Lytechinus pictus: one gene and its partner. The protein of the gene in region 2 binds, or shares a complex with, the protein of the main gene of each other region. Links are inferred from orthologs where the notes say so. Each region holds a gene or a part of one and is shown on either strand. Other genes may lie near its edges.

Region 1 (7,554 bases), on a different chromosome or scaffold from region 2:
AACATGTCGATTCAGCTATTTTCTTTCTTACAATTCAACCAAAAGACTTTTGTATAAACTTTACACAATTACGGATTAGTGATATTTGATAATAAACAATCAGTATCATAATATGAATATAAAATAAATAGTGCTTGTATGTCTCTTGCACCCCATCTTGATCTGCCGCCATTCTCATTTTCATACTTTAATTTTTAGCGCTTTAAAAAAATTTTTTTTTAATTAATATCAATTTTAATTGGCCGTAGATTCTGCTTTTAAAGCTACATGTAGAAGAAGAAAAAAAGTTTGAACCACATAAAACTTTGCCAATTGCCAAGGCATTTTCAACCCAAAATATATTAAAAACTGAACGCAGTAGGACTTACCTTTAATAACAGGGACACCATCTCTATCTGTAATTACTATGGCTTCTAGCCCTTCAACCCTGAATATGATTCAGACAGAAATATGAAATCATCTTTCAAAATTTGACATTGGTAAATAGAAAGACTTGGGATAAATTAAAAAATTATTCATTTCAAATATTTTGCTACCAATCATCATTCACTTATGAGAAGGACATGTATTTCATCTTTATCATATACTGACATACAAATATTGGTCATAAAGAATGAGTTGAGAGGCTGCATTCATGTTGATGTGGAGGACTTTGCTCTAGACCCTTAGTCTAGCATGCCATTTTAGTCTGTAAATAAATGCAATATTTTTATAGAAAGGTGAAGGAATATTGGATATTTTTGCAATTCAAAAAGTTTTAATCAATATTGAATGAAAGAAAGATACAAGACATCTCATAGATGCAAATCATCTCATCAACAATGCATTTTTTTCTTTACATCCTCCCCATCTTTACACTTTTTGCCCTTGATCACTTGAAAATCTACCACTCCCATTAAAGACCAACCCCGATTACAAAAAAATCAAAATAATGTTTATGAAACAGTATTTGAATACTCACATTTGCAAAAGACTCCACAAATATCTCTTCAGTTGCTGCAACCAAAAATAACATTTGAAACAATTTTAAATGGAACCATGTTTAAACTTTTGAAATAGAAGCTGTTTTCATAGTTGTACAAACTTTCAAATTGTGATCAAGTGCTACAATTTTCAGTTCCTAATTTATATAAATTACTATGTCCCGCTATGCATATTAACGCAGTTATGAATAATCAGAGTAACTGATATATCAATTATACCTGTACAGGTACTTTTAAAGATTCCTGTCACAATTTGCTAAACCACAGCTTTAGACAAGAGTTTAAATTAAACCTGAAGCCTCTGTATTTGGTGCATTAGAGGTGTCATCCCAGAAAACAAGGATATCCTCATAAACAAACATCAATCATGTCTCGATAAAATGAGGTTGTCCTTATTACTGAAGACAGTTTTTGTTTTCACTTCCGCCTGTAGGACATACAGTATTAGGGAATTTGAGTGCTAAAAATAGATTCTGTGACCTCCGTTCCCACAGTTCACCGTCTATTTTTTACTAAATAATCTTGTTATAAACCTGATAAGTTTATATTGTCTATCACTCTTGATTAATGACGACCACATGATGACACTTGGCAGGTGAATGAACTTTCTAGATTTCTTATGTGGAGAAATCATTGTAAAAAAGACAATACCTGTAGTGTAAAACAACGTCTATATGTATAGTGAGTGATTGTATTACCGACCGGCCTTGTATTACCGAACGTGCGCATCATACGCATCAGAAAATAATTCCATATGCTCAAAAATTTGCAACATCCTTTCAAAGAGAACTTGAATAGAAAGATGATGAAAAATTGTCAAAAACACAATTTCAAAGTCTTAATATTCGAAAAACAATAAGATATGGTCAAAATAGCGCATCAGTGACTTTGTTGTTTTGGTTGTTTTCTCAACTTTTCCCATAGAAAACACACGTTCGGTAATACGATACCTTTTTCAAGTGACCAAAATATTTCACATGCGAAGAGGGGTCCGATTGGAAGCTAATATCGTAAATAGGAAAAACGATTTCGGCCAAATTTTTACATATTTATATTTTGTAGGTAATTGTGTATTCATGGTGAAAGTTTGGTGAATTTTATGAGAATAGTGTGTTTGATATGATTGAATTCATGAAAAGTGTTCGGTAATACGATCCACTACCATACAGGGACGATCCTCATTACATATTACAAACATGATGGCAAACAAAGAAAACCCCGGCTGATCCTGCATGTTTGTCATAAAAATTCTGTATTTTCCATAACGTTATATACCAATTTGGAAAGGTGGTAAGCTTCAATATTATTTGCTCTTTTGTTTTACTGCGCACCTTTTTGCCCATGCACATAATACAACTTACAAGAGGGAATTAAGCAGTAATCAAGGAGGGTGATCAAGCTTCCCCTTTTAGATGCTGTAGCTAAGCGCCAGTCAAAGTTCCAACATACGAGCGCAATGGCCGATATCTGGGCTAACGTTAATAAACGAGAATCGTGAATGTTTGATCTAGATTTCTGGACTAGAATCTAGAATCAACTAGGTCTAGGGCTAGGCTAGATCTATTATCATCTATATTTTTTAAAAGTTCACAAGATATTCAGTAGGTCTGGTGGATTTAAGCCTTAAGGCCGCTGAGCATAATACAGAATTTGGCCGAATGAATTATTCTAACTCTACTCTTATATGATTCTCAGATTTTGATGAAATTGTCATATTATCAGAAGACAGACAAATGTTAATGACTGAATATATCAATGTACGCTCTGCGACGATTTATATTACAGTCCCACGTATTTTACTATTTGTATGGAAAATGATTACTCACCTCAACCATCTTCACGTCTGCCAAGCTTTATTCGTCGATTCTCACAAATTTTCGAAGCACTGCTCGATTAACATTAAGTATTCACTTATGTGTCAATATTATTTCATTTCATAACTTAAAATTAGACATCGAATTTTACTTTCTGACTCCACAATACCTCTTTCACTACTTCAGCTTCAGTCGTGAGTCTCGTGATCTCTGCTGTATAGTCTGCAACAAAGCCACGTAACTTTTTACTTTTATTTTCCTCGGCTTTGAAAGTTTGGCAAAAAAAAGAAAAAAAAAGTGCCAGGATATAATTTGATATAAATTTTGTTACGTAAAACGATTTCAGATATTAGAATTAGTAAATCTTTGACTCTCCAATAGTCTGTACATTATATTTTTTTTTTTCAGAGTAGCATGAAAATACAGGGATGATCATACAATTTTACACGCTTTAACTGGAGGGGAGGGAATCCCACCATTATGTGCACTGCCTTTATTTCATCTTTGTAGCAAACATCTGCGCGTCAACCACAAAGTCCTATATAATCCGCCACTGAGATTTTTAACGAAGATCCACACAGTTTTTTTTTCATTATCTATTTATTTTTCTTTTACATATGCATCCCAATACTGGCAAATCATTCACCGCCAGTGTGCAATGCTCGATAAAAAAAGGCCTCAAAAAGCGATAATAACAAATAATGTTATGTAAGAGCGTAATTTACAACTCATTAAATACTTGTTCAACAGTTCGATTGTTATTGCATAAATTGCTTTTTTATAATTGGAAGATCAAATGGCAGTAAACCAATTTTATTTTTTATTCTTATATTAAATATGTGCGTCCATTTTTATAGTCTGAATTTGTTGACTCATTAGTGCAAACACTACATACGTTTATCCCCACCGTGACGTTGGATAGCCTAGAAAATCTTGTTGTTTTGGATCTTTAGAATGTAGCATAATTTTCTTTGGTTATTTCTCTATATGAGAAATTCAATAGGGGACAATAAGTAATGACTAGAACTAAGGTAAAGCGGGTGTTAAGGTGTTCCTCTCCGATCTCCACTTATTTCAGGTCTCATTGTACGAGATATATAAATGGCAAAAAGAAGCTGCTAAAAACTGCTTATCTAATAAAAGAGAGCCAATGGAGTAAATTAGAAAGTCAAAAGGGGCCTAAGCTTTCGATCCTAGCAGATATATAAATGATAATAGTTAAAGCAAGGAAGCAACATTGACTGAGTTTAGGCCAAATAACTTGGAGTAAATTGTTATAAACCCAAATGGGACATTTTTCATTTTAAGTAAATGTGTTTAACTAGACTAGAGAACCTGTAATACTTTATGTTGCATTTTAATCAGACGAAGGTTGAATCCTTTTGGGTATTTCAGTTATAGAAATACAAAGGCACGTATCTCCAGTCAAGTGAATCATATCTTGACCATATTTCAGAGCTCCTGTCTTACAACTGAACGTCTGCGTTTTAATTTTCAACAAATTTCTTCAAGCTCTATATACGCTGATTATCATATACATACCTGATATTGAGACATGATATTACATCAGTGAAATGAGCATGTACATGTATATTATTTTGTGACTCTAGCGCCATCTTTCTTTAGAAAGGACTGATAGGTCTTTATCATCATACATTGATCATTTTTGTAATGAATATAGCCTATATTAACCTTTCTTTCCCTTTATTAGCGAAAAAAGATCCTCGATGAAAGTTATTAACTTTCGTTATGATTCTTAACAAAAAAGTGGAAATGCAGAATTTTATTATAATACAATTTTTTTATATAGGATCACGTAATGACAAAATCACACAAAAGGGGGGGGGGGAGTAATCGACATGAACCAGAGAAAATGTATTGTATCCTTCCATTTTTTTCAGTGTGTGAATTTTTATGTTTTTTTTGTTGTTGAAATAATTATGAACAATTCATTTGTGTCAGTGAGATTTATCATCAGGGCAATAAAGTGAATTCTGAGTCCCTAAAAGGCAATGAGTGTAGTTTCGTATGATTGTATGATCAAATTGATTTTTTTTTTTCGTTGTGCAGATTTTCTTTTGTCCAGGCAGACATTCTCAATTTCCTCTTTGGAGACACCACGGAAATGGGGAAAACAATGCAAAGGCGATGCGGATTTGATTCTTTTATAGGTTTAAGGTTAAAATGTCCCCATAAAGCCACAAATAACACAAATAGTATTAAATGCAACAACATGAAATGTGAATAAAGAAAGCGGATAAATGTCACATATTTTTCAATTTGTCAAAATGAAGTACAAGACGAAAGTACTATTTTGGTTAACAGGGGGGGGGGGGCGTATGAACTGTCCTCAATATTTGCCAAAATTACTTTCCTATCATTTATAACCCCATTCTGTTACTGACACTGTCAGCCACCTATTTCTGTTTTGGAGAGAGCTCGAAAACTCAATCATTTCTTCTTTTTTTTTGAATATTTTTTTTTTTTTTTTTTTTTTTTTTTTGGGGGGGGGGGGTCAGATTTTATTAATAGAAGCTAGGGCTGTTTGGGAGTAATAACTTCTGTCAACAATATTGGTGAGTTTTGTGTGTCTCCCATCCAAGATCTCGTATCTTTCTTCATGGAATTAAAAATATGATTCATTAAATTTCACTAACTCATTTTTTAATGTTTTGACAATGAGATAATCAAATATGTTACAATTGCATACAGAAAGTATCAATCTCAAGTCACATAAAATGGTCTAGTCTTCTGTCCGGTTTTGGGAAGCCCTCATTATATGGCTGCAGGTGCATGACGTACACGACATTTGCACCGGTCTTAATATCTCAGAGGGCATATGGTTTGGGCTACAAGGATTGTAATAGAGTATTTGGTTCAGAATAATGTAAAGATAAGGATAAGAATATATTTAGTTTTGGAGGTTTGATTTCATGTTTGGCTTAAAGTGCAGATTTTCCATCGGAGCAATTGTCGCCGGATCAACTGGAACCGGCATGAATAATAATGTTTTGAACCGAATATCTCTGTGAACTTTACCCGACACAATTCAACAAACTTTGTTTTAAGAAAATGCAGTATACCATCTTTCGTGTTTGGCAGTCATCTGGTGTAAAGATTATAGTGTTTATATCTTGGCAATATAGTCATCGATATATAAACATATCGATGATCTCATCACCTTTCAGTATATCACTTTTCCGTTTGTGGTTTGAAAACCGGGAACTTTTTCAGTGTGAACATAAGATAAACTGTTAAAAATATAAATGATAGCAAAAAGTTCATTTCTTGAACCCCGTTGTTCCTCCTTATATACATAAAGGGAATAATTCTCACCCGAAACACAGGATTATTGTTATATCAATGGCGTATTTTTCCATAAACTTTTAGGGGATGAAATTTTGATGCGACACACAATGATTTTGAAATATACGAGTAAGAAGGCCCTCTAGGCAAAAAGGTAATGATTTTGACATAAAGATGAATGCTGTGAGAAGTTATTTGTCCCATGTATAAAAGGGTCTGCGAATGGGCAAAGAAAATAATTTCAAAACAGCCAGAGATGAAAGAAAAATAATACAATGATTTAATTGTACAAATACCGTGATTTTACAAATACATGCACTCTTAAAATAGTTGGATGTTGTTTGAAGGTTTGCATGGTGGCATAATCGCTGATGTGGTTTACGGTACACCATGTGGAGTGTTATAGAAGAAGAAAAGAAATGGATAGGCGAGAAAGTGAAAATTTGAGAGTAGAGTAATCTTTCTTGAATGTAGTCCTGGAAAGGACTGTAAACCAGAAGAGACTGATGATTTGAAAACAGCTTGAGTAGTATGATGGATGAGGAGATGCTGGCTTGAGTCGACGAGTAGAGATGATGAGTAGAAGCAGTAGAGAGACTCGACGTATCGGGCAGGTTGACTGTCAGAGACTCGACGTTTCGGGCAGGTTGACTGTCAGAGACTTCCCGAAACGTCGAGTCTCTCTACTGCTTCTTCTCATCATCTCTACTCGTCGACTCAAGCCAGCATCTCCTCATCCATCCTACTACTCAAGCTGTTTTCAAATCATCAATCTCTACTGGTTTACAGTCTTTTTCAGGACTACATTCAAGAAAGATTACTCTACTCTCAAATTCCCACTTTCTCGCCTATCCATTTCTTTTCTTCTACTATCCACTGTTTCTATAACACTCCACATGGTGTACCGTAAACCACATCAGCGATTAAAATAGTTGGGCAAAAAATGCCCAACTTTTAACCAACCCTGCATGAAAATAATTTCAAAACAGCCAGAGATAAAAGAAAAATAATGCAATAATTTAAATGTACAAATACCGTGATTTTTACAAATACATGCACTCTTAAAATAGTTGGGCAAAAAAATGCCCAACTTTTAACCAACCCTGCATGTCCACACAACTATTGGTTAAAATCTGCCCAAATTGGGTAATTAAACTAATAATTTGGTAATAAATTTGGTCAATTGGATAATAATTGCTCAGAATTATTTTTTACCGACATACATTACCCAACTATAGTGGACGGTATGTTGCCCAACATTTTAAATGTGTGGTAATTGACAAAGACCATGAGTAGAGATTGAATTTTGCCAAATTGGATTGGTTTATTTCGAATTGAAACCTCAGTGAAGTATATGGATTGAAACAATCGCCCTTTAAGCTCTTATACAATTATATTCCAACGCTTGTGGTCCGATCTACACATCTATCGCTATATGTAAAGATTTCTGT
Region 2 (6,953 bases):
TGTTGAAGGCATTACGCATGCATATATGCAGCAACACTCTAATCAGAAAGAAACACCAGACTCTAATTTTGGCCCACCCAAGGGTTCATTACATGCCGCCGCGCACAGAAAATTCAAGCCATAGAAGTCGTGTGTTGTGGACCCAAGAAGTGAGATCCCAGCACGCGCGACCCACTAGTTAGAAATCCACTGCCAAACGCGGTTCGTGGTGCGAGGTTAGTATACTAATACTAACCTCGCAATACGTGTGAGTGATTTGGGCCAGGAATCAGGGTAATCACCACTCACACGTATTGCGAGGTTAGTATTAGTATACTAACCTCGCACCACGAACCGCGTTTGGCAGTGGATTTCTAACTAGTGGGTCGCTCGTGCTGGGATCTCACTTCTTGGGTCCACAACACACGACTTCTATGGCTTGATTTTTCTGTGCGCGGCGGCATGTAATGAACCCTTGGGTGGGTAATCACTGCTGAAAATTTGTCTGGCTTCATGACATCGGCATCATGGTGATATAATTCTGTGTATAATAAAAACTTAAACATTCCTCTGAAACAGCAGATTTTCAGCCATGGTCCATACCAGTGCTCCTAAATAATTTGAATTAATTTAATCGCCTGCCTGAGTCCTGACCAGTTTTAGAAATCTGAAGAAAAAATCTGCTGGAATTGTGCAAAAACATTATTTCTAAAATAAAGACTTTTTAATTTTAATAGTATACGCCAAAATGCATGATTCTAAACTTATATCAGATCTGTATCTGTCATCTGACCTGAATGCATCGTCAGAACAAGTACAGTTTCCAAACATGCTTACCTTGACTTTTGACTGGATCAAACAGCGTAACCTGCAACATGCATCGGGAGCAAGTGAATGGGACCGTGCAGCTTGGAGTTTTTCAATAGTTAGTAGAGCAACACAACGAAGACTGTCGAGTGGACAAAATCGATCTTTCCAGTTCAGAATTCAATAAAAACCGGGCAAAATAACACAGTTCTGGTTCCCTTATAGTCTGAAGTTGTCGAAAACAGAATTCGGATATCACAATACATGAAGAAAACGGTAAATTCAAAGAAAAATAGAGACCAGGAAGGTGAATCAGCTATCACTGTACTGCTGGCTTGCACAGAGCTAGAGAGCGGCTGAGTGAGTCGATCATCATGTGACGTCATTATTCTCGACTGTATTTGATCGCGGTCTGGGGGGCTGAGAAGGGTCTCTAATAATTTCATTTCTTGCATTTCCACGACATCAATAAGACTTTTTAGTGACATATTTGTGTATAAAAAGACAAGACCTTTCCATTCATATATAATTTGTCTATAATCATCACTTTCGTGAATTTTCTTTGGATGTATACTTTAACGTTTAAAAAAAATCTTGGACAAGACCACTGACCAAGCTGCAAACTTTAATACGAACAGTCTATGAATGGTCTGCCTTCTTCGGAAGATCTCACAGAAAGGTTTGAGAACATTTGTATGGTATCCCTTGTTGCTGTTTTAGCTAAATACATTGAATATTTTTGCCTGCATAATTTACAGTAATTTTAAAATATCAATGTAATAAATTGAGAGTACAGCATTGCATTATTCACGCAAACAGTTCTTTTTAGGTAATTGTGACCAAACCATAAAATCTCATCTGCAAACTTCCCTCAACATTGCGATTACAAAACTAGCATTTCTTCTTTTTACTATTCACATAAAAAAAAAAGATCCCAAAGTAAAAGAGGATGGGATACAGAAATGGGCCCAAGGCACTATAGAGAAAGTATGGGAGGAGGAATAGTGGAAAAGACTACAGAAGTTCTTGGTTCTTACAGCCATGACTGCTCCACTATCATTGAGGATTAGGTATCCCTCCTGGTTGGGTACTTTATCAAGATTATGAGGTCCTGGTCCACTCTGTGAAATATTGAAAATAGAAAAGATTGGATGAAAATGAGATATTTTGCCAAACATATTCATGTATAAGAAAACAAAATTATCTTAGTAAGTGCCAGCTTTTAATCCAGATGAGAAATAATCATGATTATCATCTGCTCAAGCCTAGATGAATGAAGGTATTCTAGTTTATACACAGTTTGTCTATGACTATGTGTCATCAATGCTAGGCTGACTAAGTAAAAATTGTGATGTAAAATTGGTTTTAGTTTTTACTGGACACACCCATCCTTAAGATACAAAAAATAATAAAAGTCTAAAAATTCCTCAGAACAGATGTCTCCTTCCCGATGTTTGCCGAATGCCTAAAATTTACACTGAAAATCATTTTGGGTGTGCAAAAATGTTCCAGATCCAAATTTCATCGGTCACGTCTGTGAAGCATTTTTCACATTTTACGGATTAAAATAATGTCCACTGAGCAAATGTTGGCAGAGTAATGGTCACATATGCGGCATGCGGAGTAAATGTCGGCGGAGCAATCGTTTTCAGTGGAGCAATTGTTGCACTTTGCGGAGCAATCGTCTCATTACGTTTCCTTTTGACTTTAAATTAACATACATGAGCCATTACCATGGACAATTGTTGTTGCGGGCACTAGCCTAGACCAGTACTTAATAGTACACTACAGACATTTACACGGACGAGTCCAGCCCCAGGTCACAGCTCAGCTCCGGGTTAGACAAAGCTCAAATTACTTACCATGATTTTGATATTTGTCCGCACTTTATTTCAATAAAACTGTTGTCAAATTATACTCCCTTGAAATAGATGCTGATGTGAATACTCGTCAGAAAATCAGATTTCAATGAATAAATATGCAGTTTTACAGAATGCCTACTGGACTTTCCGTTACATGACCAAGACTCCGACAAGGCAATACTGCTTGCTGTACCGGTACCGTACTGGTATATGGTACAGCCTACAGGTACAGTTGGTCAGGTGACTACAAGTGGAAGATTGGACGTACATCGACAGTAAAGAGCGCAATGAAACGCTCAGGAAACGCTCAGGAAGAGCGCCCAACAGCGTTGAGTTAGTAATGGGCGCATGGGATCCGGCAATTTCGGGAATCCCCCTTTTAACCCGTACCATGACGTAATGGTTGAAAAATATTCATATAAAATCAACGGTGCATATCTGAACAATTTTTTGCACATGGGTACAGACTACAGAGAGGGATCAGGGGCCGCGGAACGGTTTTCAAAGTGGGGGGGGGGGCTGAGCCAAAAGCAGACCATGCTAAAAATCACAATCATGTGGTAATTTTTACGTTTGTGTATATACGGTTTTGGAAAAAAGTGGGGGGCTGAAGCCTTCCCCCCCCCCCCCGGTTCCACGGCCCCTGGGGATTACTACTGGATCTTTTCAGTGCCATGGGAGAGAAGTAATTTGTCAATGCTGGATTTTATGGGAACTTGAATAGTTGCCCAAGAAACCCTGTGAGCACTGTGACTGCAACCTTGCATGCATGTAGTCTTGGTTTGAGCCCCTGTAGCGCGAAAAAATGCTGCAAAACACCTTTTCATATCTTTAGCGTTTGAAGGAATAGGATATTGGATGAACTACCAAATGATAAAGGTGTGGATGCTGTCATTATTAAGACTTAATTATTTTTGGCGATTTTTTTTTTCAAATCTCTTTTTTATATAGCACATGAGTCTATGGGGAAATAGTTAGTGGTGTGTGCCTTAATGACCTTTTTTTAATTTGAGTATCGCGAGATGGTTGTGTACAAAACATGTGAGAGAAATGAAGGAATAGAATAGACGATTTTTACATTTTAATTTTTTTTCCTTCAATTTTTCCACCTTAAATTTGAGATGAATATATTTTAGAGGTTTCTTGGTAATAAAAGTGGAAATATTCCCATGCGCCACCATTGAGCCCTCTCCAAACTCTCTTCTCTCATTTCCCCCCATATATTTGATATGCGAAGATTTACTTACTCAACTCTCATACTTCCACTGATCTCTCCACTAACTTAATGGAGAGATCAGTGATACTTCCCCAGGAGCATTTTTCGGGCGTTTGGGAGCGTACAAAAATCGACGAAGTGTCCGATCTTCCCCTATATAGGGCTAGGGCATAGAGATATACTAGGGACGGGTTTCATAAAAACAAATTGCTTTTCAAATTGTTGACAGTAATTTTGATAACATTTCTTTTAGTTTCATGGTATTGATAAAAATCCTTTGTTGAGATTTATCCATGCTGTAAAAATGTGTTTATTTATAGATCTAGATAAGATTTGTTTGTGGCAGCATATTTTTTTTACGTCTGAGAGCGCGTTTGACGTTGAAGCGGGGGTTTATTTATAAGATGAAATGGTACAATCCTCGATCCAATAAATATATTCAAACTTTATTGCAATAAGCTCCCAGTATTTGACACAATATACACAAAATCACACAGATATTATCACAAAACTAACTTCCCAGAAGGAAAAACCAGTTACACTGGACCAGTTAGACCAGTAAAATTTTTAACTGGTACTCTGGAAATTGGAACATCGGTTTACTGGTCTAACTGGTCATACTGATCCAGTTGAAATTTTACTGGTCCAGTTAAAAATTAAACTGGTCTTAAATTATTGGAATTTTATACTGGTCTTGTTTCTGGTGGTTGTTACTGGTCTCATGCACTGGTCTTCATATCCAATTCAAGCTGGTCTTTACTGGTATTTTCTACTGGTCTGACTGTCCTCGAACTGGTCCTCTTACTGGGCTAACTCACTGATCTCTCCCTTATCTGGATGGGAACAATAACGCTGATTGGATGGCCTATTCCGTGTTGAAGCACCGGAAGTTGTTACCTCCCCACACGCCGAGTTCCCCCAAAAAAGTCAAAATCGAAGTAGAGTCTGGTTCACGGCAATAGTGTCAATTCTTAATTATACTTACCAGATCAACTCTTATTACAGCACTTTTTAATGTGAATTTATACCTGATACAAAGTTAAAGATGCCATCCTGTGCCGCGTATGATTGCACTAATCGGGACGACCGTGGAAACAGAGAAAAGGGGATTACTTTTCACAGCTAAGACAAGCTGGTGAACTGAATAGTTGTAGACTTTATGTAGTCCCATGTGCTCAAATACATGTGTGGTAATTCTAAATTACCAGAGCAAGTTTCCAAAACTTTAAAACTCCAGGGGGGGGGGGTATATCGCCCGGGGGTTATCGATTGTTGTGATTTCTCTGGAAGCGTGATGAAATTAAACCATGATTCAAATAAATATTCAGTTTATTAATATTCATAACTGTCACCAAGTTTTATGAGTTTATCAGTCATGTTTGGACAGAAGAATATCACGAGACACGAAAATATACTGACCGTGTTAGCCTGTATTCTGAAACTTGACTTAAGTTAAGTAAAGACTGGAAATCTGCCGTTTCGGAGGAGTTGAAAAAAATGATTTTTTGCGAAGCACAGATCCTAGTGACCGAAATAGACTGATTTTTCGGTCAAGGACTAGATCTACAAGGTATTCTGAAAATTATTTTATCTTTTATTTGTGTTAATTTCCTTTGAATTAAAGGACAATAAAATTTACAAGCTAATAGGTACATGTACGGCCGGGTAGGACTATACGTTAGGAGCTAACTGAATGCAACTTGTTGCATGTGAATTTGTGATATTTCTCGTCAACAATAGATCTAATTATTTTTCCCAAGAACTTTTTTTTTTCTTAAAAGTACGTAAAAAAGACATTAGGCTACAGAAACGGATTTACAGACTTCAGAAATTTCACAGAACTTATTTTGAGATGATGAATGTCTTCAAAGAAAAAAAATGTCTCGGTGGAGCAAAAAAAAGGGGGGTTATCAACCAAAAATTTATTGGGGTGACACAAGAAAAATAATCTGACAAGCAAAAAAAAAAGGTTATCAACCCAAATTTAGGGAGGGATGCAATTAAAACAAAAGAAATAATCTGACAAGCAAAAAAAAAAGGTTATCAACCAGAATTTTAGGGCGGACCACAACAATTTTAGGGGGGTTCACCTGAATTTAGGGGGGACGCAGGAAACAAAATTGACAAGCAAAAAGAACAAGAAAGGTTATCAACATAAATTTTGGGGGGTCTGTCCGGCCCCCAACCTAAAATTTAGGGGGGACAGGACCCCCCCCCCCCCCGCTGCCTATATGAACAAACTGGGGAGAGGATAATTGAAGAGGGTCGATCGATGTGACGGAGGGAGAGAGAGAGAGATACACTCTTAAAGGGCGAGTCCACCTCATGGAAAAGATTATTTGAATCGAGAAAAACCACACAATATATGCTGAAAATTTTATCAAAATCAGAAGTAAAATATGAAAGTTATGATATTTTAAAGTTTTACTTAAGCGATTAATTTTTCGGTGTTATGCTTGTTTGATTTTTCGGGGGGTGGACTTAATAAAAGGGGGTTTCAAGCCCAGTGTTATAAGCCTGCATAACCTAGAAAGTCCTCGCCCTATCCCTAAGATGTTATTTGGCAAACCTCCAAAATACCCCTAGACAAGTCAAGGATTTCATCCATTCTAGACGGGTCAATATATGGTTGGACCCGGAACAAATTGCTACAAATTATTTTTCAACTGTTTCTGGCAGTATTTGCCCTCAGGAATAACATACTAAAAATCTACCAAAATCCGCATACGGCAAAGTAGTTATTTTTAAGATGGCGTCCAAGATGGCCGCCATTCACTGAAAATTGATATAACTCACTCATTATCCACCCGAAAGTCCTAATTCGATTCATACTCCATGGTCGAGTGGGTAAACGAATTTATTGATACAGGTCAGAGTGAATATTACCGCGCCAGGAAAATCCAAGATGGCGCCCAAAATGGCTGCCGTAGGCTAAAAGATCCACAATTCATCTATAACTTAATTAGATGGCTTTAATTTGGTTTCTATTCAATGGTTTGAATGTTGAAGTAGTACATCGGGACAAGTTAAAAGGACAGCCAGTTGTTTGGTGTGTCCAAAAATCCAAGATGGTTTCCAAAAATTGAGTT

Evidence for each region. The genes of interacting proteins can lie anywhere in the genome.
Region 1: ragulator complex protein LAMTOR4 homolog (region 2) and ragulator complex protein LAMTOR3-like share a complex: the UniProt entries of both Drosophila melanogaster proteins name them as parts of the ragulator complex. The link is inferred for Lytechinus pictus from reciprocal best matches to the Drosophila melanogaster genes Lamtor4 and Lamtor3.

Annotation. Positions count from the first base shown.
Region 1 is NC_087251.1:16,375,482-16,383,035, reverse strand, and holds the start of ragulator complex protein LAMTOR3-like, read right to left. Parts: upstream 3,027-7,554; 5' UTR 2,819-3,026; coding exon 2,810-2,818; intron 997-2,809; coding exon 962-996; intron 428-961; coding exon 369-427; intron 1-368. UniProt on the Drosophila melanogaster protein: Regulator of the TOR pathway, a signaling cascade that promotes cell growth in response to growth factors, energy levels, and amino acids. As part of the Ragulator complex, may activate the TOR signaling cascade in response to amino acids.
Region 2 is NC_087260.1:995,914-1,002,866, forward strand, and holds the start of ragulator complex protein LAMTOR4 homolog, read right to left. Parts: upstream 3,015-6,953; 5' UTR 2,652-3,014; coding exon 2,649-2,651; intron 1,908-2,648; coding exon 1,824-1,907; intron 1-1,823. UniProt on the Drosophila melanogaster protein: Regulator of the TOR pathway, a signaling cascade that promotes cell growth in response to growth factors, energy levels, and amino acids. As part of the Ragulator complex, may activate the TOR signaling cascade in response to amino acids.